4 linked regions of the Struthio camelus genome follow. The protein of the gene in region 4 interacts with the protein of the main gene of each other region in a pairwise test. Links are inferred from orthologs where the notes say so. Each region holds a gene or a part of one and is shown on either strand. Other genes may lie near its edges.

The links.
Region 1: the proteins of UBQLN4 (region 4) and SPP1 interact in a two-hybrid assay, tested with the Homo sapiens proteins (2 studies listed by BioGRID and IntAct). The link is inferred for Struthio camelus from reciprocal best matches to the Homo sapiens genes UBQLN4 and SPP1.
Region 2: the proteins of UBQLN4 (region 4) and PTN interact in a two-hybrid assay, tested with the Homo sapiens proteins (2 studies listed by BioGRID and IntAct). The link is inferred for Struthio camelus from reciprocal best matches to the Homo sapiens genes UBQLN4 and PTN.
Region 3: the proteins of UBQLN4 (region 4) and PRPF40A interact in a two-hybrid assay, tested with the Homo sapiens proteins (2 studies listed by BioGRID and IntAct). The link is inferred for Struthio camelus from reciprocal best matches to the Homo sapiens genes UBQLN4 and PRPF40A.

What each region holds. Positions count from the first base shown.
Region 1 is NC_090945.1:11,416,301-11,423,528, forward strand, and holds the start of SPP1 (osteopontin), read left to right. Parts: upstream 1-4,226; 5' UTR 4,227-4,707; intron 4,708-7,228. Other genes in the region: MEPE (matrix extracellular phosphoglycoprotein), read left to right, coding at 1-54, 1,029-1,091, 1,886-1,978, 2,108-3,808. UniProt on the Homo sapiens protein: Major non-collagenous bone protein that binds tightly to hydroxyapatite. Appears to form an integral part of the mineralized matrix. Probably important to cell-matrix interaction.
Region 2 is NC_090942.1:66,014,198-66,021,075, forward strand, and holds the start of PTN (pleiotrophin), read left to right. Parts: upstream 1-3,867; 5' UTR 3,868-4,072; intron 4,073-6,878.
Region 3 is NC_090947.1:44,934,483-44,942,094, forward strand, and holds the start of PRPF40A (pre-mRNA-processing factor 40 homolog A), read right to left. Parts: upstream 3,017-7,612; 5' UTR 2,717-3,016; coding exon 2,354-2,716; intron 773-2,353; coding exon 635-772; intron 1-634.
Region 4 is NC_090971.1:3,782,603-3,789,900, forward strand, and holds the start of UBQLN4 (ubiquilin-4), read right to left. Parts: upstream 3,018-7,298; 5' UTR 3,002-3,017; coding exon 2,846-3,001; intron 331-2,845; coding exon 179-330; intron 1-178. Other genes in the region: ragulator complex protein LAMTOR2, read left to right, coding at 4,365-4,462, 4,704-4,866, 5,938-6,027, 6,283-6,339; RAB25 (ras-related protein Rab-25), read left to right, coding at 6,790-7,171. UniProt on the Homo sapiens protein: Regulator of protein degradation that mediates the proteasomal targeting of misfolded, mislocalized or accumulated proteins.

The sequences.
Region 1 (7,228 bases), on a different chromosome or scaffold from region 4:
ATGCTCGTTGCCCTCTTGAGCGTGTGCCTGGCAAGCGCAGCCTTCTCGACGCCCGTGAGTATTGCCGGCGCCGGGAAGCCCGTGGTACGTCTCACCCCGGGGCCAGCCCAGCGAGAAGGCCCCGGGGGTCGCCGGCAGCTTGCGCTGTCCCTGGCGCGCAGGAGCTGGCCGTGGGCCTCCCTGGAGCGCGGCGGGGGGCCCCGGGCGGTCGCGGTGCAGCGAGGCAGGGCCGGTGCGCCCCGGCGCGCTTCCTGGAGCGCAAAACCATCGTCGCACCTAACGCTGCAGTGCGGCTTATTTACCGAGGCGCTGGAGCAGAGGTGAAGCCAGCCGGAAAAAGAGGTGTTAGCCGCGTGCCGTGCCGCTTGAAGTCGGCCGTTAGGTAGGCCTGCGCACGAAATTCCTGCCGACGTGGCTGAAACAGAGGCTAAGCCGAGATAAACAGGCTGGCTGTTTTTATCCTGCGTGATTTTTTGCCCAGCACCTTAAATGCGCGCCTAGAGTGCAAACCGACTCTCAGGGAAAGGCTTTCCTCTTCTCGCAAGGAACAGGCAGGACAGAAACCGTGTCTTTAATGAGAAGTGAGCCGGGGGCAACGCGGAGTTTAGTCCCTGCGTTAAAGCTGGCCCAGCTCGCCCCCTAGCAGGGCAGCGAGGGCTAAGGCTGTAAATGGCTGCGGATTTCTTTTTCGGGTCGGGGCCCGGAGGAGAGCTGGTTAAACGCCCTGCCGCCTGCCTGGCGCTGCACTCCGGCCCTGGACGATTTATAATTTGCAGTTTACAAGCTGGCAAGCGCCTGCCCAGCCGCTCACGGGCGAACGCGGGTTGTGCCGGGGCGGCCGCCCTCCCCGGCTGGCCGCGTGACCGGGACGCCTTACAGCTTGAGCAAGGGCCCAAGAACAGTAAATGGCCTTTTTTGGTTTTTTTTCCCCCCCCCAAGAAGAGAGAACCCGTTCGGGGCGTTTACAGCAGCCGAGACGGCACTGGACGGCATTTGACACCTTCGCTCGCGTTTGTGTCTCCCCGCAGGTGCCGCCGCCGCCGCCGCCACCGTCGGGGAAAGCCGGCGAGAACTGCGTGGGCCAGCACCGGGTAAAGCAGCCCTCCTGGGGGGCGAAACCCCCGCGGCGCGTTGACCCGCAGAGGGTGGGCAGCGCCAGCGCCTACCCAAACAGGCAACTTGACAGCCTCCCCGCGCTCAAGGCTGGGTTTGCTCCCGAGCGGGGCTGGGCTTCCTCTCCGCCGTGCCGCAACGGCGGCTCTAGGTCTCCCTGCAGGAGCCGGCGCTGGCGTGGTCGGGCTCCTAAGCGCGGGCAGCGAGTCTCACCTGCCAGCTCTCGGTCGCCGCGCCAAAACGTTCTTTGTACCCACAGACGAGGCTGTCCGAGTCCTAGCTGCTGGGTGGTCTTCTTTTTAAAGCTGTGTCAGTCTCAAGCGCATCAGTAACGACATTCAGAGCAGTATCTCCTAGTAAGAGGGAAGAAAACGCTCTCTTTTTTTCTCTTGCCAAGCAGCTGTTTCCCTTCTGGCGCTTGAGCGGCTTTCGATCCCATCCGTCGCGTTTAACGAGCTCGCTTATGAGGTCGTTTACCCAAGGCATGAGCTGCCTCACAAAGAAACCATAAATCCTGCAAGAAAGCAAAAGCTGAAAACGACTCAGTAGATGATGCCGAGGTCCAGGAGCCGGCAGGCCCGATAAGCGCGGTCCTGCTGAGGTCCCCGGCGGCCGTGTCGGTCACAAAACCGCTAAACCTGCCCCAGCGCTCCCCGGTCTAACCGGTGTCCGGGCTGAACCGGGAGAGGACGCTGAGCCGGACCCCCGGCGCAAGCTCCTGCCGTTGTTTTTAGGAAAATTTCAACGTCTTTCCCCCCCCCCCCCGGTCTAGATACTGCTGAAAGGCTGCAACGTCAAGCATGGCTTTTATATCTTTAAATACGTGTACTCCTTCTCCACGCAACGGAATCAGACGCAGGTGAAGGTGAGAGGGCGCGCTGCGAGCCGGCGCTGGGGGGCCGGCCGGGGGCCGTCGACCGGCCCCGCCGCCCGGCCAGCTCGGGGCCGGGGCCGGGGCGCCCCGATTACGAGTCGGGGCGTTTCGACGTCGCAGGAGAACGCGCAGTCAGCCCCGGATTCGCCCTCTCGCCGCTGCGCCAGGCGGAAGGAAGAGGCCGAGGCTCCCAGCAGCACCTCCCGCCCCCCGCTGCGCCAGGAGGACGCCCTGAGGAAGCTGACGGAGGCCGACGGCAGCTCCTTGCCGGAGCGCCCCGGAGCCGTCCCCCAACCCCGAAACGGCAGCGCGGCGGAGGGCGGGTGGCTTCCCGGCGCCGCGGGCAATGCCGGCAGCAGGGAGGCCCGCCTGCCCGGCCCGGGGGCTGGCGGGGACGGCGACGCCGCTAGCCCGGCTCCGGGCGCCGAGGGCAGCGGCGACGCCAATATCCTGGACGGGGTGGAAAGCGGCGTTTTGGTCCCGCCCCACCTGGGGAGCACGGTCACGGGGCGGTGGGAGCCCGTGGGCGTCGGGGAGGGTGCCGACGGCAGCAAGGTGGAGGCGGACAACCTCGGGGAGCCGGGGGCGGCCGGCGAGAAGAACGGCTCCAGCGCTGGAAAGGCGGCCGGCGGCGACCGCGAGGTCGAGCCGACCCGGCAGGCGGTGACGGGATACTGGGTGGCGGAGGACGCCGCCACGGCCGTGGATTTGGAGGCGGAGGGCAGCGGCGAGGCCGGCGGGCCGGGCACCGCTCGAGGCAGCGTGGGAGGCGCCGCTTTCACGTCCGTCACGGAAAGGGCCGAGGACGTGGAAGTGGACGGGCCCAGCGTGGACGAATACGTGTACATCCCGGACACCGGCGCCGCCACCGTTACCCGAGGGGCGACCCAGGCGGGGAGGACGGGTCTCACCTGGCTGCCTACCGCGGCGGACGACGAGGTCAACATCTTCATCAGGAAGGCCAACATCCACCTCGGGGAGGGAGGGCCGGCCCCGGTGCGCCCCGGCGGCGACGACGACGGCCACGACAACGACACCGCCGTGGCCGTCACGGCGGGGGCCGGCGACCACCTGCCCACGCCGGTCGCCACCAGGGCGCAGGACGACGGCGGCCTGGGCGCCCCCGCGAGCGGCCGAGACGCGGCCTGGGCGGCGCCCGGCACCGCCGGCCGCGCTGACAGCAGGGGGGACGCGGCGGCCGGCCGAGGGGGGCCGGCGGCCGGCGCGGCGCGGCGCAGGGGCGACGACGACGGCGGCAGCACGCCGGCGGCCCGGCGGGGCGAGGCCGACTGCGCGACGGCCGGCGGGCAGGCGGGAGGCCGGGCCGGGCTGGGAGGGAGCCGCCGAGCGGGGCCGCCAGCCGCCGGGGCGGGGGGCCAGCGGGAGGAGGGCGCCGAGCTCCCCGACGCCGCCGGGGGGAAGGATGAGGGCGGCGACGGCGGCGAGACGCCGGCGGCCGGCCCAGCCCGGCTGAGGGAGGCCGGCGCCGAGCCGTCCCGTCCCGCCGTGCTCGGCGGCGGGGCGGCGGGGCGGCGGGGCGGCCAGAGGAGGCTGGTAGCCGGCGCCGGCCTGGCCCAGGCGTACAAGGCCTACGGCCGCAGCCGGTGGGCGGACAAGGTCCGCCTGCAGGAGCGCTCCCTCTACGCCTTCGGCCAGGCCGGCCCGGCCGCTTACCGCCGCCGCCACCGTCCCCAGGGGCCGCGGGGCCCTTGGGGCGGCTGGTCCTGGGGGGCGGGCGGCAGCCTGGACGACAGCAGCCAGTCGTCGGAGGTGGCGTGGGGCAGCCGCAGCGACAGCCGCCAGGAAGGCGACGGCCCCTAGGGCCGGCGGCGGCGCCCGCCGGCTCTCCCCGCTTCGACGCCTCCCTGGGGAGCCAGGAAACGAAAGGCGAGGGGGGGGCGGGGGGGGGAAAGGCCTGTGGCGGCGCGAGGCCTCGGGCGCCCCCCCCCAACGCCGCCCCCCCCCAGGGGCAGGTCGCCCCCCCACCGCGGTCCGTCCTCTGCGGCCCCAGCCGTCCCTCCAGCCAGACCTATTAAAGTTTGGGCTGCACTTGAGTCGTCCGGCCTTCTTCCTACCCTCGCCGTGGGGTTTTTTCTGGCCGATTTCCGCTCCGCTCGGGGCACGCGCCGGGGGGCACCAAACTGGAGGGAAGGGGTTAAAACAGCCCGGGGCGGAGGGGACATGTGTGGTAGCTCCCCCTTTTCGGGAGGTACGCCCCCGGGGGTCTTCGGGAAGGGGCAGATTGAGGTAGGAGCGGCAGAGCGGGTGGCAGGTTTCAAGTCCCTGCCCCGGGGCTGCAGACTCACCCGGGGGACAAAAGCAAGCCATAATTTCCCGGAAGGGAAATAATTCCCGCGTCCTGGCTGAGGAGCTTCCCCCTCTTTCTAAGGGCAGGGCCGTTTCGGCTGCGGGCTCCCCGGGGCCGTAAGCGGCCGGCGCGGGGCAGCTGCGGAAACACCTGCACCAAGGGGCCTTCGTTTGCTTTGCTTCCCTCCTCCAGCCGCCTCTGTTTGCGACCGCTCCCTGGTGCCGGCCCGCGTCGGCAGGGGAATGGTTTTGTTGTGTGGTTTATTGGGGGTCCCCCCGCATCCTTGCTGCACGCGAGACCTGTTTCCTAAGCTCGCCCTGCGGACGGGGTAGGGGTGGATCCGGCACCGGCCATCAGGAAGGACCGGTGGCCCGTCCAGGGCGCCAGCTGCGCGGCAAAGCTTTTGCTCGAGGTATGTGGCACGGAGCACCTTTCCCCCCCCCACACCCCCCTTCCCTTCCTCTTCTTCCTGTAGCGGAGAGAGAGAGAGCCTGTGGGCTCCTCCCGGAGGAGGGAGGATTTCCCCCCCCATCCCAGATTGGCTGGTCCTGGGCTTTGCCTGCCAAACCTGCTTGGCATCTTGCCCTCGTGTGTGTACGTGTGTGTGTATTTTTTTTTCCTTGTTTTTTTTTCCCCCTCCCTCCTTCCCTCCCCGTAAGAAACCTCTGACTTTTCTCGTTGGCCGCAAGGCGACGCCGCGGCCCTGAAGCCTTGCCCGGCAGCGGGGCTGGGAGCGCCCGGCCACGGGGGAAGGAAGCGACCGATGCGCGTGCGATTTGGGTTTTCCTCGGCGGTTTCTGCGGGCGAGCGCGCCGCCCGACACCGCGGGCGCTCTTGCTAACTAAGCTCGAGCGGCGCTGTGGGTTTCTAGAAGCCCTGTCGGTTTTCTCGGGCAGGTTTCTTGGAGATCGAAGTGCTTTTATTCTTAGTTCCCCCTTCCCTTCTTCCTCCCGTCTGGCTGCTCCTGTTTTGTAAAGTCCAGTTTAGGCCTTAATAGGAGGGGGCAGGTTGGGTGTGTGGTTTTTTTTTTTTAATTGATATTTAGAGAATGACTTTTTGGCAGAAGTGGCGTAGCAGCAGGATACGCGTTTTCCTCCCGGGCGCTACGGGCGCCTATAGGAGCTGGGCAGGCTCCGCGGAGAGGCGAGGGCGGCGCAGGGGGCCCCTGTCGCGCGTGCTCCCCGCGACCTGCTGGGGGGGCGACGAGAGGCGCTGGCTGGCGCTGCCCTCGTGTCCCGCTCTCCTGCAGCGGCGCGGTCCGCCGTGCCGCGGGAGCGGCAGCAACGCAGCGTCTGTCCCTATGCACGGAAGCCCGCATGTTTACTCTTAAACTCCTACGGTGATTTAAGGGACCGCGGGAGGAAGCTGGAGATATATATATATATATATATATATATATATATATATATATATATATTTTTTTTTTTTTTTTTTAAGCTAAGTTGGCCTAGAAAGAGGTATAGGAAAGAGTATTCAGCCCAGCTCCTAGCAACTTTTTACTTGCGCTGCCTAGGCTCGCGGAAAGTAAATTTCCGTTTTTGTTTAATTACTGAGCTTGCTTCAAGAGCAGGGGAAAGGAACCCGCTTGCTACGGCAGTCCCCTGTGTTTTGCATGCAGGGACACGTTGCAGGGAATTACCCGTCTGGGCAAAATCACCCCTGGCCAGGAGGTGCCTCCCCGCTGCCTGCCTCGCCTGCAGCCGGGCAGCTGCTCCGCGCTCGCCTGAGCGTCGCCTCTACCGGCAGTTCCCGTGGCTCCGTTTTACATGTGTTTAAAATGCTTTACCGCTCCAGGAGACATTGCAAATAAGCAGCGAGACGCGAAAACGCTCCCATTTGATGCAGCGAAGTCGTGAACGTTTCGTCCGGGTCTAGTTCTTCGGAGCTGGGAAATGTTTTCTGCAGGGAAAGGCTGGACTCGTTCCTTCGGCTTGGAAGGAGCGCTCCGCAGGGCTGCGCGAGCTGCATGCGGCACCGTGCCTGCGTAAGGGTTGTGCGTCCGTGTACGCGGAGCTGAACGGTTTTGTGCAAGTTTTGCTATTACTCGATCAGAACAGAGTGTTCATGTCGCACTGACGATCACAAAGCACATGCACGTCGTGGCAGATGTTTAATCTTCTGAAAATGGCATTTATAGACTTGGGGGGGGGGGAACAAGTCGCTTTTAGCGAGCCAGCTGTCATTATAGGTTATGGCAGCCCTTCCCAGACCACTGGCTCAAACAGGAAGCGAGAGAGACGTCTGCCCTGTCTTCAGCTTGACAAACCAAACTCGTCACAGTATTTTGAAATGCACAAACCGTAACTGAAAATAACCCCGTTCCTGCGCTCCAGTCTACATTTGCAATTACGCTTCGTAACAGGAAGAAAACTATGGTAATTACATTTCACAGAAGAAACCTACTTCTTGTGTGCTTTCTTAGATGTTCTGTAGGGAGATTACTATGTTGAAATAAAAAACCCAAACAAATAACCCCGTACCTGTTTTCCTTGGAGAGCCTAATTTCCCCCTTGTCGCTCATTTGAGTAGGTCCTACACCGATGAAGACGTTTCCTGGGGAGTAACGATTGAATTACCTGCACGAAGAGTTGCTCCTTCTGGGAACTGGCCCCACAAGAAGTTTCCTATAGGAGGGACGTTGCGCACGGGTACCGAAGGGCAGGTAGAGCCAATACCTCGGCTGCTGATCCCACCGCGCGCTCCCCGCGCCCCGCCGAGGTCAGCACCTTCTGCAGAGCGGCTGGGTTTCGCTGCGCCGGCTACCTCGGAGAGCTGTGGCGTTGCCTCGTGCCTACGCGCCAGTGTGCGATGCAGCGGTCAGCCAGGAGGGACCCGCTGTGCTATTTGCCCCCAGTGCTTCTGCTTTAAATTCACTGATTGGGGACAAATTACTCCTCTGCGCTCCTACAGTGAAAACTTTGAATGGGGTAACA
Region 2 (6,878 bases), on a different chromosome or scaffold from region 4:
GTTCAAAGTCACAATTTTTATCCATAGCTGGGATTTTTTTTCTTTTTATAACAGATTTCAAATTCTGGATATGTAGGATCTCCATTCTCAGGATTGCCAGCACAAAAGAAGAAAATGGTGAGAGAAGCCAGTTTCAGAATGGCACTCTTTTAAAAGCTGGGGATCTGGAAAGGCCTGCTGTGCTGCATTATATTTGTGGATTCAAACTGCAACATGCAGATATATGCACATGAATAATTTCAAGCACAAGAGCATTAATCCCATTGTAGAAAATAGAATCAGTCAAATGTGTAACGTTGCAATATGTATTCACGGTTTGGTCACTGAAGCATAAGATCAAGTTCTGGGATACTGACTTTTTTGGAAAATATCTTAAGTTTTTAGCACGTGTGCATGTAAAAATAACTCTGCTGGGTTCAGAATTTGTGTTTGCCTTCTTTTGCATACATCTAGAAAAACTGTTTTTTAACATACTGGATTACTTTAATACTAGAGAGTGAGGCATGAATTATTATTTTTGAATTCCATGGATTTTTCCACTCTAATTATAGGACTGACTATTGTCTCTGTGACAATATTCCTGCTATTATGCAGGCCTGAAATGAGAGATGGAGTGAGAAGGAACACAGCTCTGAAGTAGCTGATTTCAGTGTTCAGTGCATTCACTAAATAATTCAGTATCACTAATGGAAATCTGATTTTGGTAGAGTAGGCATGAGGGGCACTCAGTGCTGGAGTTTGGCAGCTCAATAGCCTGGGAACAACAGTGGAGCAAAAGGTGAAAAAAATCTTTACGCTATTCTCGAGTTCTCTTTTTTTGCTTTCCTGGAATCATGTTACATCTTCTTGGAGGCTGCTGTTGCTGAGGGCTAGAGAGGGCGAGAGAAAGAAATTGATATTTACAGTGTATCCGAAACAAAGAAAGCTCAACCCAAGCTGACCTTTTAACTGGTGTGCGAGTGGTTTTTGCTTCTTGAAAAGTATAGCCCCATTCTACTCAGCTGTGGGACCAAGAACAGGGAAACACTTACTGGGAGCAAATTATATAAAGTCTTGCGTTCTGACTTTGTGGTCTGAGATTTTATAGTCAGAATCTTTCAAGGGCACCTTAGGAAAGAAGTACTAAACTCTCGTTAGAAGCTGATGAGATCCCAGTGACTCTCTCCTTCAGGGCACTTATGAAACAACTGCCTCAAAGTACTGAAATACCCCAGGTTCAAAGGGAACTGTTGGTGTTCAACTCAGGAAAACACTCAGTGAGAGGAACTTTGTTGTGGGAGGGTTTCTAGATTTAGGTACAAGATACATCTAATGCTGGGAGCTTCTTTCCCCAAAATTGCCTCAAATACTTACTGATAGAAATATTTGGGACATAATACTTTTCGATTGTTCACAAGACCATTTTTTTGCATGTGGCATCAATCAGAAGTGGTTTTGTAACTTATTATTTGCCTAACCCTCACTCTTCCTTTTAAATGAAATTCTGCCCTATATCTCCTTTTCAATGGGATACTGTTCTGGGTAGCAAAGATGATACATGAAAGCAGAAATTTGACTTCTACAGCTGGCAGTCCATTCTTCATCTTTGTTTTATTGAACAGTATGGAACCAGCAAGGATTTTAAGGATAAGTTTCACCAGCAATCTGAGAGCAAATTTTCTTTTCTTGGATATTTGTGTGTCCAGACCAGAAAAGTAATTGTCAAAGGCTATTTTCCAGTATGGATATTTTCTGTATGTCACAAGAGACTTAAATGAGGCTACCGTTCAAGGTGCCATTAATATGGAAATAATATTAACATAAAAACACACTTTTACTTTTTGTCAGTCCAAGACTGAGATATTTTATTTTTTCATCAGAGTTCCTTCAGACCATAATTTGTCCTCTGAGCAGCTGTGTTAACCTCGAGTGCAGTTCATTTTAGACTTTTTGAATCAAAACCTAAGCCCCCATTACAGAAAACTAGTTTTAGTGCATGTAAACTCAGTCACAGGAAATTCATTTCTGAGCTATGGAAAGGTATCTAGAAGAGGTGTGAGTGGATTAGGTTCAAAACTGTCTATTGACATTGCTTTCAACATTTAATGGAAAAATGGGGCTTCTGACACACGCATCATTGTGAAAAGTGGTTGCTTTCTGCAGAAAGTTTCCATTGTTTGTTGAAAAACTGAAAATGCTAAGTGTTTTAGGTAGGACTCAATTTTCTGTGAGGGAAGGAAGAAATCTCCAGACCCACTTCAAGGCATCTGTTTTGGTCTTAATCAAGAGCCTTTCAGCCTTTCTCCTCTTGCCTACTTTCACTTTGTTACTCGGACATCATTGCCCATCTGAAGTGCACTATTGCAGTGGCACAGAGACCGTTGTCTCTTGTGTCAACCGTTATCAGCTGTTTTATGATGGAAAGTCTTCCTCTCACAGTGCTTAGCACAGTGATGCCAGGAGTTCACTGAGGAGCCCCAAGGAAGGTGCAGAGTAGTTATCAAGGATCCATTTTTATTCTGATCAGCTTTGCATCGCTCAGTTGCAAAGTACTATTTGAGTGCTCATTTCCACGCATCCAGCTGCTAAAAACACTGTTCTCTCCTCCTGAAGCCACTGCTTTGCCTGTCGGGTCAAAGTTGTTTAAAATTACATCACTGTCATTAAATCGGCCAGTGGTGTAAATCCTTAACAGCCGTGCCCGGACTATACATGTAACTGTGTGATGTAAAGAAGATGCCAAGGTGTGGATGGAAGGAAGGGAGTAGCTTACGGAGAAGGAGGCCAGGTGGGTGCAATTGCCTACGCTGGGCCTAGCCATACAGAGCTTTCCATTGTCACAGATGGTAGGTGTTAGATGATGCAATGCGAACAGTGCCAGACAAATTACTTTTTTAACTCATTCCTCTGGAAACAGGAGAAGAATCCGAACTGGATTTCTCAGACCTGGAGCAGGAGCTGCTAGCTTAACGATCTCAGCAAAGACCCTAACCGTCAATGGGCTGAGTCTTTCCGATCGAGACCAGAGACTTGTTCTGGCAATGGGCAATTGCACAGAAATTGCCTGGGCTTTGGAACAAGTCCACTTAGTTTCAAATTAAGCTGTAGACTGGGGAACGCTCTTATTCAGTGGATGTAATGAACCTAAAAGCTGGAAAGGCCTGCTCCCAAATGAAAGCCTTGACACAACTCCAGCAGCCAATACACCCAGAAGTGCCGAAATGCCACCACAAAACTTGTTCTCGTGCTACTTGCAGCCCAAACAGAAATTAAAAGCTGCTTTATTTATTCCCCTGCCCCTAACAGCGTTTCCAGTCCAACACTGCCACAGTCTCAGCAGCGAGCTGGAAGCCAGCGAGGTTAAAGTTAACGCTCCCTTTCCCCTAAACAGTCACCGAAGGGGCCAAAGACTCGCACGGGGTGAAAGCGGTGCCTCGGCGAGCCCCGCGGCGGCCGCCCCGCAGCCCCCTCAACGGCCGGCGGGCAGCCGTTGGGCGCCCCCGCGGCGGGCCGAGCCCAGCCCCCGCTTCCCCGCGGGCGGGAGTTCGGGACGTTACGCCGGTTCGGGAAGTCCGTTAGGACGCCGCAGCGGGGGGGGCCGCGCCACTAACCTAACCTCCCCCCCCCCCCAGCCCCCCAATGCCGGGCTCCGCCGAGGCACGGGGGAGCCCCCTCCCTCTCCCCCCCCCCCACCGCGGGCGGGGGCGAGGCTGCCCCGCGAGTGACCCGCGCCCGCCGCGCGCCCCAATCAGATCGCGGGAGGGGCCGCGCGGGAGCGCGCGCGCGCGCGCGCGCCCGCCGCCGGCTCCGCTCCCTCCGCCCCGGCCGGGGCCGCCCGCTCCCGCACTCGGCGCCGGGGCTCTGCGGAGGCAGCGCGGGCAGCAGGTTCCCTCGGCATATATATATATATATATATATATATGTATATGTATATAAAATAACCATAATAATCCTGCGAGGAAAACAAATCCCGAGCAGGAGAGCGAGAGGGCGCGCCGGCAGAGCGGCAGCAGCAGGCTAGAGGAGAGGGATCGCAGCGCCGGCAAGTGCCCGCCGCTCCCGGCTGACGGGCGAGAGCCTCCCGCCGCTCCAAGTAAGTCACGGGCGCGGCCCCGGCCCCGGTGGCGGGGGAGGCGGCCGGGCACCTGCCGCGGGGCCGCGGAGCGGGCGCTGCCGCCGCCGGTCGATCGCGCGGATATTTAAGAAAGTGAAGTGGGGGGACGGGGCCCGGCGAGGGAGGGAAGGTTTGGGGGGGGGGGGGGCGAAGCCAGCAAATGCCGGTTTATCTGTTTTTAAAACTGCTGCCGTTAGTTTACGCCTGCCGTTCCCTCCGCGGGGATGGGATGGGAGCAAACCGGAGTTAACGCTGGTGGAAACACGGCTTTCCCCTGCTGGGTGTACAGGTTGTTCTGCAAACGAGCCACGGTCTCCCACGCTGCTTCCCGTACCTCCTTACCCCTCCCTCGTCTTCTCTTGCAAGTAGAGTTAACACTGGTGAAAATGCAGTTTTCTCCTACTTAAGAGTACTGATTGTTCTGCAAATGTGCCACAGTCTCCAGCACGGATTTCTCTAACTCCTTACCCTCCCTTGTCCTCTCTTCTGAAAAGCAGAGCTCTTTATAAGAAAAAGGTAGTCTTGTTTCTTTGGGGGCCTCATCTGCTGCTCTTGCTTGTTCCAGCTGGATGTCGTGCACCTCTCCCTTCAACCCCGCAAGTGGCGTGCCGCGGCGGTGGATGGCTACAGTGCTTTAGTTTAGTGGTATGCTCAGAAGCTGGATTCGGGGATGTAACTCTGAGGTTAGCTGGTTCTTAGGAGCATTGTAGGTTGGTTTGCGATGTGCATTACCTCTTCTATGAGGTAGCCCTGCAACTATGCATATCGGTCGGTGTTTTAACTAGATCCTGTTTGCTTTGAATAACTTATGTTACAGTAGAAGAACACTTTTTACCTGTAATTTGTCAAGCCTCAAACTTTCTGTCCTGTTCCTGTTTCCCCTTCAGACCTCGATTGTTCCAAGCTTTTTGCAAAGTTCAACTTTCGGAGCAAGGAATGGATTGCATATATAGTAATAACTGCTTGTATTGAGGAGGAGGAGGGAGGGTAGGAGGAGAAAGAGAAGGGAAGGGTATGGGAAAGTTTTTTTTTATAAAGAAATGCTTCTCATACGTTTTCTGGACAGTGGTTTGAGCTGATCTGCAGAGCAAACTTTAGTTTGTTCTGTGCGACTCTCTTCCCTCCCTGCAAAAAGAGCATGAAAATTTTATACACACACACACACACACACACATATATATATATATATATATATATATATAAGACAATCTGAAATTTTCATCAAGAGAAATGGTCCGAAGGGAAAAAGGAACCTGCCTAGTGGTGAAAGAAGTTTTTAGTTTTTGTAGTGGATGGAATTGGATGGAGAAGGTATTTTGTTAGAGTGGTCAACCGAAAAAAAAGAAATAAGAAAACCACTGCATAAATTACTGATTCCTCCTAAAAAGAGCAAGAAAGTAGAGGTTTAAGTGTACTCTTGACTCTGATCGAAGCTAAACTCTTTGGTGACTTACCACTTAGGGAGCTTTCTGTGAAATTGAAGGATGGATGCTTATCGACTGCAGAGCAAGCTCTTAGATGGAAAGAGAGGGAAATTTGAAGCCAGCAACAGATCTGTCTCTTACAAATGAGTAAGTTTTTGTTGATAGTGAACAAGCGATCTAAGAAAAACAGACTTTTGCCATTATCCAGATGTCTATCACCGGTTATTTGAGATGCAATTTGTGACTGATAAATGCTTGCCAGCAGGAAGTTGGTTTTACTACAGCATTACCAAGCATAGCGCTAGCCCAGTACCATATACTAGTATTCTACTGTTGGTAATATGAAACAAACTGTCCCAGAGAAGGTTCAGTTATGCCATTATGCCAGTGTTGACACTGAGGACACTCTTGAGGCTTATCTTATTCCTGTCACAGCTCTACTAATGGAGGCTTTGTGTAGATTCAGCTTTCTCTTGCTAAACTGAATATTAATACTTAGCTGATTCTACCAGCAACGGCTCTTGCAAGGTACTTCACAGACACGTCTTATGTTTCTTTTGGTCATTCTGGAAACAATTCTTCCTGAGTCCTTGGATAACAATTAAAAATAGTCTTTTACTGGAGCTCTGAAAATGTACTCATTTAAAGCATGCTTCGTTTTATTTCAGTGCATTTTTGCAGCAGGGAAGATATGATTTATAAACTGTTAAAGCATTTACACTAAGTTATTTGGGATGGAATTGGTTCTGTCGATGAAACTTGTTGCTCTGTTCAAGCCCCCTCGTTGCGTACGCTCCCAACAGTGGAGTTTTCTGTGGGAACTATCTTTGAGTAACAATGTAAGCTTTGCTTCAATATTTACAACCTCTTGCTGATCAGTGTATCAAAAGCATTTTCATTTAGAGGATTCATTTCAGGACTTTAATTGAGGAAACCTCTTTGTTTCAAGCCTCTTTATAATAAACCATTCAAAATGCTTTCTTTGAACGAACTAGGTCACTGTAACACGCACACACACAGAGATTCTCATCTGCTTAGGGTAGCCTGCATTCGGTCGACCCATATCCCTGGTGAGCTTGTCCCTGATTTATCCTTCTTGGACTGGCTTGTTCACAGGGAGCTTATGCTGCAAATTCACTGCTGGAGGTCATTCTCCATTCTTGGCATCTCTGGCAGTCTTAAGCTTAAATTGCAGCCTCATTTTCTATCCAATCAATACCACTCTTATGTTGCTGAGTTTCCATGGTGCCCCCAATCTTCTGTCTACATATTGATGTCTGACAGCAGGGATAGCATTCTGTGTCACTATATATACTTACTAAACCTGTCAAAACTATTTAGGATCTGTCTCACTAATTTAT
Region 3 (7,612 bases), on a different chromosome or scaffold from region 4:
AAAATTAAAACTTCAAATTTGCAAAAGCATGGATATGAGCCTGGCTACTCCTCCTGTCAATTCACTTTCAAATGTGCTCTGAATAGCTAAGTTTGTTTTTCAAACTGTGCATTACACTAGCACCACTAGTATATTATACAGAACTATAAATGCTCCCTAGGATGCAAGAAGCAATTCTGCAAAAATTCAGATCTTGTTTCTTCCCTGCGTCTCCCTACAATTGTCTTCCATGCTTGGATGTAAGAGTTAGCCAAGAACTAAAGAGAGAAAAAGTTCTCTACCATTACCACTTCCGAAAAGAATCGCTACTTTCTGTTTCTAGTACTTTTTAATAGGACAACCTTACTTCTTCAAAACCTATGGGAAACTGTCTAAAAGGTTTATTAAAAATAAACTATGGATTCACATATATGACAATTTAAAATTAAAGTTCCAAAACTAGGAAGCACTTTCATTATCCACTAAAATGAGAAGAGTTTCTGCATGGATAGGCATGGCTGCATAAAACAACCTGAATTGTTCACGTTATCATTTGCAAGCTACTATATGAGACTTACCTACCTCAGGAATTATCTGGCCTCATTACAGGAAGAAAGAAAGAAAGAAAGAAAAAAATCCAGTAAAACTGCCTTACCTGCCCCATTGGTGGTCCTCCCATCGGAGGCATCATCTGAGGCATCATACCATGCGGAACTGGTGGCATATTAGGTGGTCTTTGACCCATGGGGTGCATTCCCATGGGCGGATAATGTGGCATGCCTGGGTGGCCCATCTGAAAGACATCAACAAACAAAAAAATTAGCACAAAGCCAACAACTCCCTGCCCCCCAAAACACAAAACATTAAGAATAAAGACACACTTGACGCGCCACTGGAAATGAGGTAGTCAATTTTAGCTTAACACTGCAAGACAGCGAGCAAGACAATTATATTAAAATGCTTACAAATCAATTCTGATGTTAAGCATACTGTAGAAGAATACTCTTCTGGGATCTGTAGAGCTGGAGATCATCAGAATTAACAAATATATTTAAAAATTCAAAAACAATAGCCAAATAAAAAAAGAAAATATCCATCTTTCATGTTATAATTTGTCATAGAATCACATACTAAATTTGTGTGTGCAACTATTTCTGCATGCTCTTCTATACAACTATGATTAACACAAGTACCCCTGGAGCAGAGAAGTCAATCAGATGACCAGCCTATCTTTTGCTTCTCTCATGTCTAAGGCTGAAGTAGCTTCTACGCTGACTACAAACTCTGTCTCTGTATTTTCCTAAAAATCTGAATCCTGTGGTTGTCCTTATACTTGGTATAGTCACAGTAAGAGGATTAAAAAAGCTAGCATACGTCAAAAGTCTGTTCTGTAAACACACAAAAACATAGAAGACATCTTATTTCATATTCGGAGACTTGTTAGTTACCAGAACGTAGTAAAAGCCTTCTATTCCAGTCAGAAGCATCAGCTTTAAGAGTGCCTTAGGATAAAGGCTCAAAGGCACTTTATTTTGAAAGACAAATAATTCAGCTCTGCATCTTACTTGTGTCTTTCATATCTATTAGCTCAATGTGAAAGTTACTTTTAAACAAAATGTACTTTTTTGAGAAGGATACTGAGCAGGAAAAAAAAGCAAGTAATACCTTTTTTCATGCTTTAAAAACAATCTTCCATTGAAATTTTTGGGGGGTACCCAAAGGCATGCCTATTAATAGCCTGTGAGGTTGGGGCAGACCGCCCAGAGAAGTTATGGACTCTCCTTCCCTGGAAACATTCAGAAACTGTCTGGATGCGATCCTGTGCAACGTGCTCTCAGTGACCGTGCTTGAGCAGGGGGGTTGGACTAGATGATCTGCAGAGGTTCCTGCCAACCTCAACCCTTCTGCGATTACTGAAAAGCCACAAACTGAACAGGTTTGAAACTTAAAGAGTTTACCTATATATACACACGCGTATACACGCCTTGAACGTCATGGGGGACATAATCCTAACTGATTTACTAAGTCTCAGATGCTCTCCAAAGAACCAGAAGTACAACGCTTCCTCAAATCCTTCTCGCGCCCTCTGAAGACCGCTATACATACAGGCGTTTTTAAACCTTCCCGAGGGACCTGCCAACCAAATGCCATTTAACGCGCCCCAGCTCTCCTCTGCTGACCAGCGCAGCACAGGGCTCTCGGGGGGGGGGGGGGGGGCGGCCCCGGCCCACTCCCGCTTCCTTCGCGGTTTCAGGCTGCGTCGCAGGTGCTGTGCCCAGCCCCGGGCGCTGCCAGCGCGCCCCGCTCGCACAACCAAGGGCCCCCGGCCCGGCCCCGGCCGCCCCCCCCCGGAAGCGCCGCCGCCCGCACTCACCATGAGGGAGCCCCGGTCGACGCCGCCGGGCCGCATCGAGGGGCTGAGCAGGCTACCCCCGCTGCACCTGCCAAGAAGCCGCCCTCTGAGTGGCTGCCGCGACGAGGGGCCAAAGGGCATGAGCGGCTCGGGCTCCCCGCGGGGCGGGAGCAGCGGCGCCAGCAGGCTGACTGGCTTCCCCGCTGGCCAATCCGGGCGGCCCGCCAGCCGGGTGCTCTTCGGCGATTGGTCCGCGGTGGCGGCGACGGGGCGGACGGCGTCCCCCGGCGTCAGCTGCATGAGGGGAGGGGGCTTCGGCAAGGAGAACGGGAGCGGCTGAGGGGAGGCCGCCGCCGCCGCCGCCGCCGAGTCCCCACCTGACATCCCGGCCGCGACGAGCCTCTTCTCTGCCTCTCCCGGCGTCGGCGCCCGGAGCCGTTAGCGACCGCCGGCCGCAGGCGGCGAGGACCGAGCGGATGGAGAGAGGCCCCGCGCCGGGGTGGGGGAGGAAGAGCCGAAGAGAGAACGGCGGCGCGGCGAGGCCTCGCCTAGGCGGGCGGGCGGCGGCGAGCAGAAGAGCCTCCGGGCGGGAGCGGGAGCAGGCCGCGGCGGCGGCGGGCCAGGCCGGGCCGGGCGGGGGGGCGCGCGAGCCGCCGAGCCACGGAGCTCGCGCGGGGGGACGGCGGAGGGGACGCTGGGAAAGGGTCACGTGGGCGAGGGGGCGGGGCGGCCGGCGCCACATCCGCCGGAGGAGGGGGAGGAGGAGGAGGAGGGGGGGATGCGCGCTTGCCGCTCTCCTCGCCGCCTGCTTGGAGAAGCCGGAAAGTGTCGGCTGCTCCACCCCGCGCGTTGCGGCGGGTGGTACGTGCCGGCCGGCAGGCCCAACTTCGCTGCGTCCCCCCCTGCGCTGCGGTGGTACGTCCCGCGCGCGCGGTGTGCGCTGTGAGTGCTGCGGGAGGGCGGGGCCGCTTGTCTCCCCCCGCGTCTCGTGCGCGGTGGTAGCCGCCGCCTGAGGGGGATCGGCCCGCGCTTCGCGCCCTCGCCCGCCCGCGGCGCCGACATGGCCGCGGCGCTGCCCGGGGCCGGTGCCACCGCCGCCCCGCGGGCCGAGCCGGGCCCAGCCCGGGAAGCGGCCTCCGCTGCTCTCTGCCGTTCAACTAACGCTGCGTGCTTGCGTTTCCCTCAGGTTTGCGGTCGGGGCAGGCGGAGAGCGGAGCTGGGTGGCAGCTGGGCCCTGCCTGGGTACGGCTGCTGCCGCCTGCGTGCCCCTCCTCCTTGCCCGAAGGGGCCTTCCGCCTCGCCCCGCTGACCTCGGGGTGGCAGCGGGCGGTACCGCTGCCGTCGGAAATAGCGCCCGAGGCGGTGAAAGGGCTGAAAACGCTTCAGGTCTTCCACCTTCCTCCAGAGCTGTGGAGGCTTTGTCCCCCTTCGGAGCCCTGTTCGGCTGCCTCGCGTGCGGCCCGAGAGGCCCCAAAGGCCGAGGTGTAATAACGCCAAATCCTTCCACGTGCTCTGTGCCGCGCTTAATCCACGTTTTAGGAATAGCAACTTTTCAAAAATATCTTCATAAAAAAAGCTTATTTTTTGGTTTAGATACTATAAACGGGGTTTGGTAGGACTTCGTTCCAACCAACAGACTGTGGTAGGCATCGATTTCACTTTTCCCACCCCTTGTCATCCGTCTTGTACCCTTGCTCCTATTTCAGACCGGCTTGTGCTTACTAATTAAGTCCTGCGGCATAAGTTATCCTCTTCTGTCTGCCTCTTCAATAACCTGTGGCCAGATTCAGTGCCAGAAGAGATGAGGAAAAAGAAAGCCAGGGGAGGAGAGCTGGAATTGATTCAGGGTTAAAACTCACTATAAATATAACCGAAGTTAAGTGTAAATTGTAACCATTGGCTTTAATAATATTTTAAATCCATATGAACCTCTGTTTTTTTTGCATGCAATAGTAATAGATTTTTCTAAGAGTATATATTTCTACTGAAGGCTTTTTGATGTGGAGGAAGGAGTTAACTGCATCTAGATAGAAATTGTGGTAGTATGTCTAAACACTGTCTTTTAATCTATTTTATATATTTAAAGGCAGTACCAACTTAATGTTCAGGTTCCCAGTGTCTGTAATGTGTAAATGTGGGTGAACACAACTTTCCTTTGTCTTGCTTTTTTGGAGTTTCTTGAAATAAATCGCAAGTATGGCCCTTGAGGTGTAATACGGTGTTTTGTTTTATTTTTTTGACTCCACAAATGAGTGTGGTAGCTTTTCAGTGGGGGAGCATCTGCCACAGGTGTCCTAATCCTGACGCAGAATAAGTCTGTTTAACAGCAGTCTTAACTTCCGTGTGATGATCAGCAGGATTTGTGGAAGATGTGATCTTACAAAGTTAATATCCACGTGACCTAACAGCAGGATCGTCCTATTATAGTGAGATAACTGTGATGGAACTTGGAATTTGGTGAGAAAAGCCAAGATTTGCTAAGATTGACATTAACTTTTACTATGACCGAGGAGAAATTAAAAAGCAAGAATAATAATGCGGAAAGATTGAGTTTTTCTTTTGTAACATAACACTTTTGCTTTAATACTTTTTTTAATGTGTTGAAGTTTTGTACGGCTGTCACCCTGTGATGAAACAGGGCAGCTTGTGGTCGAGGAGTTAAAATTTGATTTTTAGCATACTGAACAGCCTAGATGTATTTTTAAGATTAGAATCTTTGCCTAATGGCTTGCCATGTCATACTGTTATGATTTAAGACTTGATTCTCTGGCTTGAGTATATAATCAAATATGTAATTCTATGTTTTAGTCAATTCTACTTCAGTTAACTACTTGGTAAATTTGAAGTGATTGTTTTCGAAAACTGCTTATATCTTGCAAATTCTCCAGTTTATACTTTCCTAGCCAGGATTCTGCATAAACAGGGTGCTGGTGAGGTATATGTGAAGCCCTGTGGTGCGTGGCTCATATCCAATTGCAAGCGCACACTGCTCAGCAAAAGACATTATGTGATATTCATCCCATGAAGGAATCATCACTATCTGAAATCCTGGATCTTGGGGATGAAATTACCAATACTGTTCACCTACGTTTTCAGTATAATTCAGTGATGAATAAAAGGCTCCCCCCTTTATCAGGAAAGCATTGAAAATCTGGCTTAATTATTCATAACTAGTATTCTCTTTAAAAATGTAGTCAGAGCATTAAGGTATGCCGGTGGGGACAGCCACACGGGAAGGCACGCTGCTTCTGCTGTGGGGCTGATTGGACTGTTATCCGGCTGAAGCAGCTGTTGCCATTGTTGCTATCAAAAGACAGGAAACCGTCTTGGCTTTTGACAGAGGAAGCTCTGGTATATTAATGTCCTATTGACTTCAATCAAGAAAAGAGAACCAGTAACATCTAGTTTTGTTAATACTTGTGTTTCAAGAATAAGTTCCTGGGTGAATCCTCTGTTATCTAGGGCAGGTTGAACTCATGCTGCACTCTCAGTGAAGGTAGTGAGTGAGGGTTCTGGAGCACTTTCATGAAAATTACAGGAATTCATTATAAAAAGCCACCACTTTATCGTGCTCAAAACTTACGTTGATAAATTTAGATATGCATACAATATGCTAGAGACAATGGAAGTGATTGAGTGTTTTGCTAAAAATGAACCTGTCCATTATCTCTTTGAAAAATCTTGCAACGATTCAACAGTTTGTTTGGACAGAACCAGCTACGATACTGCTGTTTGCAGTGTTCTCGTTATGAAACTCTGAAGTGTATGTGGACAGTTCTCTTTATCTGCTATTGCACTGATGTATTCACCAGACAGCTTGATTAGTAAGCTACTGGTAAGTGTTCTCAGGAGACTCCAGCCCTGTTGATTTGAGTTGTCCATGTAGGCTGCTAGAACAGCTGAAGGCTCTTAAAATGGTATTACCAAGTTTTTTTTTTTGTTGTTGTTTTGTTCAAGTAGTGGAAGGGGCTAATGCTGACCTTTGCTGTTGTGGTAGTAACTGCGTTGTGTAAAAAAAAAAGTAGGTAAGCTGGGGAGGAGAGAAGAAAAAAAGGGAACATATATGTTTATGTCTGATAGTTTTGAATGCTAAAATGAATCTAATCATATTTGTCAATTCACCAGCATGACATTCTGGTGGAGAAAAAATTGTCCTGCTAATAATTAGCTTACTGATATATGAAGTATTATAGTAAGATATTATTTATTTCTGGTTTAAGATGTTCCTGTCCAAAGTTCTCCTGCCATATTCTCTGCTGGAGGTTTCTTCAGTTTTGTTCAGTCCAGGTGGCTGGCTGTGCTGTAACTGGAGGGAAGGATAGAGGGGAATGCTACTGGGTTTTTTTCTGGTAGGTTGTTTCTTGGGCTTACCAGGCAGAGTGAGCAACTAGGATTGCTACTTTGTTCTGGGAAAACGGACCATTTATGTTGCATTGTGGAGCTGTGCTGTATGACGGTGCCTTTGAATTAGTATTAAAATACGTATGTCAAATTCTCTTTGCTTCTTCCAAAAGATTTTGTAGTGTGCTTGTTGTAGCCTCGTTGGCAGAATTCTTGTGCTGTGTTTTTTCTTGGACCAGGATGTATTTTGATTTCTTTGAACCAGGAGTGTTTCTGCCCACTCCGCTGCTACCTGGTTCAAGTAAGTATTTATTCAGAATTCAGCGATTGATTTGGTGCTGTATCTCTTCGGTCCATAAGAGATAACTGTTGCATTATGAAAAGTGCTTTCTGTTGATCTATTTGTGACCTTAAGTGATCTGAAAGAGTAAAAAACTGGTTACAGAACTTGTATATAAATGTAATTAATTAAATAATAAATTAATTTAAAAAGTTTCTGTAACATAAACTCAAGGAGGATAATGAGAATCTAGTTAGAGTTGGAAAAACTCATTCTCTTTTCTTGACACTGTGTATTGTGTTAAGCAAAGAGAGAAGGACTTCTTTTCTCACTGAAATACTTTTCAGTTAGATAATGTACCGTTTAAAGAAAAAGTTAAAATTCACAGTTATAAGTCAAAAGCTTCTAGAAATGCCTTTTGTAGAAACAAAAGAAATAAAAAAACAACCCACACAGTAACTACCCCCTTAGGTAGTTTGTCAGAATGATACCATGTTATGATTCTTTGATTTCCATCTGTAGTATTTAAATATTTTAAATGCGGAGTGTATTTTCTGTAATTCCAAAAATTATAACATATTTTTCCTTCATTTGAATTTCGCTGCATATCATATGTTACAGTTTTTTGCTGCGTGTAGATAATAGATATTCAGAAAATG
Region 4 (7,298 bases):
GGAACCTAAAGGAGTTCTCCTGCCAGATCACCACCACCTCACAAACGCCCCAAAGCCAGCACTCAAGTCTGACACAAGGTGCTCCCCTTCAGCTGCAGATAAAGCAGAACCCTTCCACCATCATTTATTCACATCAGCAGTTTACCCTCAGCCCCCCACCCATGGGATCATTTCTTACTTCTGTGGAGTCTTAATGACCAAATGCACAGTCAGCCCATCTTTGATCCCATGTTGATTCAAAGTGTCTCCATCCTTCAGGATCTTCCCAGCAAAGATCAGAACCAGCTGATCCTGTTTGGCTTTAAATCGTCTGGAAATCTCTTCTTTGAACTGGAAAACAGACAAAGCACTTCTCAGGAAAAGGACTGAAGCCAGAAGCTTAAAGATACTATTTCGGACAGCACATTCCCTATGCGAATGGCACGAAGAACTGACACTCCCTCAGAACTTCACCCAGAAGGATCCCATGCAGATACCAATCCATTCACCAATTGCTGGGCATGTCTGAGGTCTTAAGGAAAAAAGAAAAAAAAAAAAACCAAAAAGCAAAGAAGAGCTCTACACTGCTTAGGAACGTGGAGTAAATTTCAGAAAGTATAGAGCAATTACCTCAAGATGAGCTGAAGGCTTCCAAAGCAAGATCAAGTGTGCCTCTTACGTCTAATCCAAAGACACCATTTATCCTCTGAATGACAATTTTTTTTGTCTCTGCTCATTTGATTTTTTTCCTAAGGAAAGCCCAACTCTCTGTGATTTAATACAGGACAGAGCTCTATGGAAAAGGGAACAATCCTTTATCAGCCAATGGAAATAAACTAGGTCTTTTCTAATTCCTATTTCTGCAACTATATTCCCTATGAGTATGCCATACCAGATAACACTGACATCTCCTCTTTACTATGTAATGAGATACATTGGCGATTTCTGCCAATAAGATTGTCACTGCTGGCTCAGCTAAGGCATTCCCAAGTTGACTTAAGAGGAAAGAGCTTTGTATTTGGAAGCCAGAAACTACAGGAAATTCACACAGAAAAAGCCAGGATGACAAACACCTGTCCTAGATGAGCTTGCAGCCTTCACATTATAACCCTTGAAACCAATGCCTGGGAGAACAGTCCCAAACCTCACGTTAACCTGCTTACAAAGCTCATCAGCGTTTTCTTCTGAACAAAGCAGTCACTTAACATCCTGTTTATACCAACAGGCTTTCAGGAGCTGACTGGGAAGGGGCAGGGGTGTCGCAGAGACCACAGCCTAACCCCATGGCCCTGCTCCCCAGAGATCTCAGCCAGCTCCATCACACTGCAAACTCATGTCCTGAGCCCTAAAGTAAAAGCACACTGCAAGCCATGAGGCCAAGAGCACCGATGATGACACCTCGTCTCAGTGGGAACAGTCACTTCAGCAGGGCTTGAGCCACTCCCTCCCAATCCCACCCCCCTCACTCCAGCCTGGGAATCCCTCTTGGCGGAGCGAACCCTCAAACCCACGCTCGTCCCATGTTCCCTTTCCTCGGCTTCGTTCAACCCGCACCCCAGAGGCGTGCCCAGCCCTCTTCCTCTGCCCAGGGGATCTGCCTCCTACGTGCCCAGATCCGCCCCGCGCGCCCAACCCTCCAACCCTGCCCGGGAGCCAGCCCCGCAGGGACAGAGCCGCCCAGCCACCTCCTCCACAGCCAGCCCCACACACACACACGCCTCCCGCTCTGTCCCCAAAGCTCCTTCTCCCTAGCGCGGCAGCCTTTCTCATACCAACAGGTTAAAGAACAACCCTACCCCTGAGCAGCCTTGCCATCCCTCCCCCGCAGCCTAGCCCACACCCCGAGCATCTCCCCACACCCTTCACACCCCCTTCCCCATCGCCAGCCCCACAGAAGCACCTTCCCCACGGCCACCCCCCACAAAGCCATTCCCCCAACTCCTCACACCACCCTCCCAAGCGCCCAAAATCTCCCTGCCCGCTGTCAGCCCCCACAAACCCTCCCACGGGCCCTCCCCAAAACCAGCCTCTTCACCTCCCTGCTCAGGGCCAGCTCCTCCCTCAAGAGTCACCCCCACCAGCCCCCCTCACAACACCCTCAGCCAGCTTCCTGCAAGACCCCCCCATCCTCTCATATCCCCCAAAAGCCAGGTGTTCCCTACCAAACTCCCTCAACTTCCCCCACCCTAAAGCTACATCCCCCTAGATTCCCCCATACCCCCCACCTCTCACCACAACCCAAGTCCCCTCAGACTCTCCAGCTTTTTCACACCCTCCCCAAGCCCCTCCGCACCCTGCAGCTCCCTCATGCCCCCCCTAAGCCTCTCAGGCCCCCCAGCTCCCCCCTCCCAAGCCCCCAAACCAGGTTCCTCCCCCTCAATAACCCCCCAGCTCCCTCACCCCCACCCCAAAGCTCCTCCCCAACACCTCCCAGCTCCCTCCCATCCTCCCCAAAGCCCCCCAGCTTCCCCACACCCCCCTCCAGGTCCTTCCCCAGAGGCCCCCTAATAACCCCCAGCTCCTCGCACCTGCCCCAAAACCAGGCCCCCTAGGGCCCCCCCAGCTCTCTCAAGCCCCTCAGCTCCCTCACCCCCACCCCAAAACCACCTCGAGGGCCCCCCAGCTCCCTCCCGCCCCTCCCAAGGCCCCTAAACCCCTCACGCCCACACTCCCTCACGCCCCCCACCCCCAAACCAGCCCCCCCACCCCTCACGCCTCCCCCAACACCCCCAGCTCCTCACACCCGCCCCCAAAACCAGCCGGCCCAACGCTTCCCGACCCATTCGCATCCCCTAAAAGCAGCTTCCTTCCCCCCCCCCCCCGCCAACACCACCAAAAAAAAACCCCTTCCCCCCCCCGCCCCCACCTCGCGCACGGAGGCGCCGTCCGCGATGACGATCTCCTCCTTGTCCTTGGGGGTCTTCACCGTGACGCGGATGAGGGCCCCGCCGGGGCCGCCCAGCTCGGCCGCGCCCTCGCCGCCGGGGCCCGGCCCGCTGCCGCCGCCGCTCGGCTCCGCCATCTTCGCCGCCAGCCCGGGCCGCGGCCAGAGAGAGGCGGCGCGCGCCGCCGCCGCCGCGCGAGAGCGGCGCCCCGGCCCCCCCCCAACTTCGCCTCGCCGCGCCGTCGCCCCCTGGCGGGCGGGAGGGGAGCTGCAGCGCTGGAGGACCCCTGCCTTAGAGGGGGTGGTTAAAGGGGTAATTGGGGGGGGGGTAAATTGGGAGAAAATGGGGGCAGCTGCCCCAGGTGTTGCCCCCAGTGCTGGCCACCTCATATGCATCCATGCGTGGCTGGTAGTCCCCCCTCATTAGCAGGGTCCAGGCTACAGCCCCCCCCCCCATTAGCAGGGTCCGGGCTGCAGCCCCCACTTCGTTAGCAGGGTCCGGGCTGCAGCCCCCCCCCCCCATTAGCAGGGTCCGGGCTGCATGCATCCCCCTCATGAGCTGGATCTGGCCTGTATCCCTCTCATTAGCAGGGTGCAGCTTGCAACCCCCTCGTTAGTGGGGTCTGGGCCGCACGCCTTTCGTTAGGGTCCGGCCTGCATCCCCCTCATTAGCAGGGTTCATCCCGCATCCCCTTCATTAGCTAAACCCAGCTAAACCCTCAGGAGGGGGGGGGCAGCTCGCGTGTCCCCCTGCTCGCCAGGTCCGCCTCGCCTTTCCCCTCGTTAGGTGGATCCCACCTGCACCCCTTCGTTAGCTGGCTTGGCCTGGGTACCCCCTCATTAGCAGGGTGCAGCCTAATTACATCCAACCTATAGACCCCCCCCCCACCACCACCACCACTGTGCCACTGCCAGCTCTGCCCTGGCAGACCCGGGCTGGGGCCCAATTAGCCCCCAGGGTCGTTAGGGCACGGCTGAGCCCCTATAAAGCCGGGGTGCCCAGGGTGGGCTGTGGGTGCCTGTAACTGTGTGAGCATTTGGGGGGGGGGGGGGGGAATTTGCCCCTCTGAGCTTAGGGGTGCAGAGCAAAACTGGCTCTCGTTAGGCTTATTTTTAATTATTGCTATTTAATTGCTCGGCCTCTGTGGCTAGTGCCCTTCCCCGGGTGCTGGCTGAGGACGAGCAGCCTGACCCCCTTCCGGGGGGGCTGCTCTCTGCCCCCCCCCACCAGCTCTTGCTGCAAACAAAAATAAATAAATTGCATGCAATTAACGCTGCTCTAACGAGGCTTTTTTTTTTTTTTATCTCTGCCCTCTACCCCGGCGTCTGGCCGGCAGCAGCAGCAGCCCGGGGGACCGGCCAGCACCCCCGGGGCAGGATGCGTGCCCGGTGTGTGTGTCCCCCCCCCTCCCCGGGAGGAAGGGACTACAAATCCCAGCGTGCTCGGAGCAGCGGCACGGCCCCCCCCCCCCCCGGGTGACGGAGGAGCCGAGCTCGGGCGATGCCGCCGCCCCCCCTCGCCGCCGTCCCCATGCTGCGCCCCAAAGCCCTCACCCAGGTGCTGAGCCAGGCCAACACCGGCGGGGTCCAGAGCACCCTGTGAGTGCGCGGCGGCGTGCTCGGGGGGGGGGGGTGGGCGGAGGAGGGGGGGGGGAGTCTTTTTGCACCCGCAAAACGCCCGGCTGCAAACAGCAAAACGCCCGGCCCGGCTTCAAAATGCCGCGGAAAAGAGGAGTTTGCAGCCGGCGGTGGCCGGGGAGGGGGCAGCGGGGTGGGACGCGTGCGCCCCGTCGGGGGGGCCCCGGCTCCGGCTCCGGCTCCGGCTGCGGCTCCCCTGCAGGCTGCTGAACAACGAGGGCTCCTTGCTCGCTTACTCCGGCTACGGGGACACGGACGCCAGGGTCACCGCGGCCATCGCCAGCAACATCTGGGTGGCCTACGACAAGAACGGGCACCAGGCGTTCAACGAGGACAACCTGCGCTTCATCCTCATGGACTGCATGGTGCGCGGGGCCGGCGCGCCCGCCGCCGCCTCCCGCCCGGCCCCGCGCGCCCCTGGGGCTGCCGGGGTCCCCGGGGTCCCTGTCTCGTGCTTTTTTTGTTTTTCTGTGTTGTTTTTTTTTGTTTTTCTGTGTTGTTTTTTTTTGTTTTTCTGTGTTGTTTTTTTTTGTTTTTCTGTGTTGTTTTTTTTGTTTTTCTGTGTTTTTTTTTGTTTTTCTGTGTTTTGGGGGGGGGTTGGATTTTTTGTTTTGGGGAATTTTTTTGGTTTTTTGGGGTTTTGTTTTGGGTTTTGTTTGTTTGTTTGTTTTGGGGGGTTTGGCCTTTTTTGGGTTTTTTTTTTGGTTTTTGGGGGGCTTTGGGGTTTTTTGGGGGGGTTGGCCTTTTTGGGGTTTTTTTTGTTTTTTTGGGGGGGCTTTCGGGTTTTTTGGGGGGGATGGCCTTTTTGGGGTTTTTTTTGGTTTTTGGGGGGGCTTGGGGTTTTTTTTGGGGGGTTGGCCTTTTTGGTTTTTTTTTGTTTTTTTGGGGGGGCTTGGGGGTTTTTGGGGGGGTTGGCCTTTTTGGGTTTTTTTTTGGTTTTTGGGGGGGCTTTGGGGTTTTTTGGGGGGGTTGGCCTTTTTGGGGTTTTTTTTGGTTTTTTGGGGGGCTTTGGGGTTTTTTGGGGGGGTTGGCCTTTTTGGGTTTTTTTGGTTTTTGGGGGGGCTTTGGGGTTTTTTTGGGGGGTTGGCCTTTTTGGGTTTTTTTTTGTTTTTTTGGGGGGGCTTTGGGGTTTTTGGGGGGGGTTGGCCTTTTTGGGTTTTTTTGGTTTTTTGGGGGGGCTTTGGGGTTTTTTTGGGGGGTTGGCCTTTTTGTTTTTTTTTGGGGGGGCTTGGGGTTTTTTTGGGGGGGTTGGCCTTTTTGGGTTTTTTTGTTTTTTTGGGGGGGCTTTGGGGTTTTTGGGGGGGGGTTGGCCTTTTTGGGGGGGTTTTGGCCCTTTCTTTGGTTTTGTGTTATGGGGGGGGGTTGTTTTGGTTTTTGTGTGTGCGGTTTTTTGTTTTTTTTTTTTAATTTTCTGTATTTCTTTCCTCCCTGGCCAGGAGGGTCGGGTCGCCATCACGCGCGTGGCGAACCTTTTGCTGTGCATGTACGCAAAAGAGACCGTCGGGTTTGGGATGCTGAAAGCCAAGGTAACGCTGGGGGCGGCGGGGGGGGGAAACGGGGCTGGCGTTGCTGCCGGGCTGCGTCCCTGCAAGGGGGGGGGGGGCGCAAAAAATAAAGAGCTAGTGAGTAAATCCCCGAGGGCTGAAAATAAAAGGGATGGAGAAGGCGAGGGGAGGCTCTCGCAGCCAGCCGGGGCGCTCGAAACGCTGCCGCTTTGGAGGAGACTGAGACGGGAGCGGGGGACGGGGCGAAAGGGGGCTCACGCCGCTCTCCGCTCGCAGGCGCAGGCTCTCGTCCAGTACCTGGAGGAACCGCTCACGCAAGTGGCCGCGTCCTGAGTGGGGAGCGGAGGGGCGCGGGGGGCCGACGCCGGGCCCTTCGCTTCCGCCGCTCGCCCTGCCTCGTGCGCCGCCCTTTAAAAAACAAAATAAGGGGAGCGGGAGGGAAGTGAGGAAAAGGGGAATAAAAGCGTGGCTGATGCTCGTGTGCTATGGTGTGTATTTTTTTTAAATATATACATAAATAAAGGGAAGAGCGAGGGGCGTCTGTCGGCGGGTGGAGATGTGGGTGGGGGTCCCCCGAGCGCGGGGCGCCGTGCCGTCCCCTTGCAGCGAAAGGGAGGGGGGGGGTGCCGCAGGATGCAGGAGCCCCGCGGTGGGGGGGGGGCACATCGGGGCATCCCCGAAAGCGGGGGGCCGCGGGCTCGGCTTCGCTCCCCCCCCCCCCGTTGGTTTCCCCGGCTCTCGCACGATGGCAGCAGAGACGAGGAAAGGCGGTCGGGGGCCCGGATGGCGCCGGCAGCCCGGCTCGCCGCTCCGGCAGCGCCCGCTTCCTTCTTCCCGAGACAGCGAGCGCCGGGCTCCTCCTCCGCCTGTGCCCGGCCCAAGGGTGACATTACCTGCCCGACCTGCACCGCGTTCCCACCCCTTGAGTCAACCGGCCGCCTTGCACCGCCGACTCGCCCGGCCGGGGTTTCCTCCGCGTCCGGATCCCGGCAGCCGGGCAGGAAACTTTGTGTCCCCCCCCCCCCAACCCCAGCTCCCGTCTTCCCCTCGGCTCGACGCTTCGCAAAGGCAAGGAGGAAACCTCGCGGCGCGGGCTGCTCCGGCCGGGCCGGCGGGGAGATGGGTGCCGCCGCCGCCGCCGAGGATTATAACTTTGTCTTCAAGGGTGAGTCGTGGCCCGGCTGCGCCCACGGCGGGACGTCGGAGCCGGTGCGCCGGCTGGGGAAACTGAGGCACGGCGCCGGGCCCCGTGGGCCCCGTCCTGCACCCTGCAATAAAGGCTGGGGGGTGGC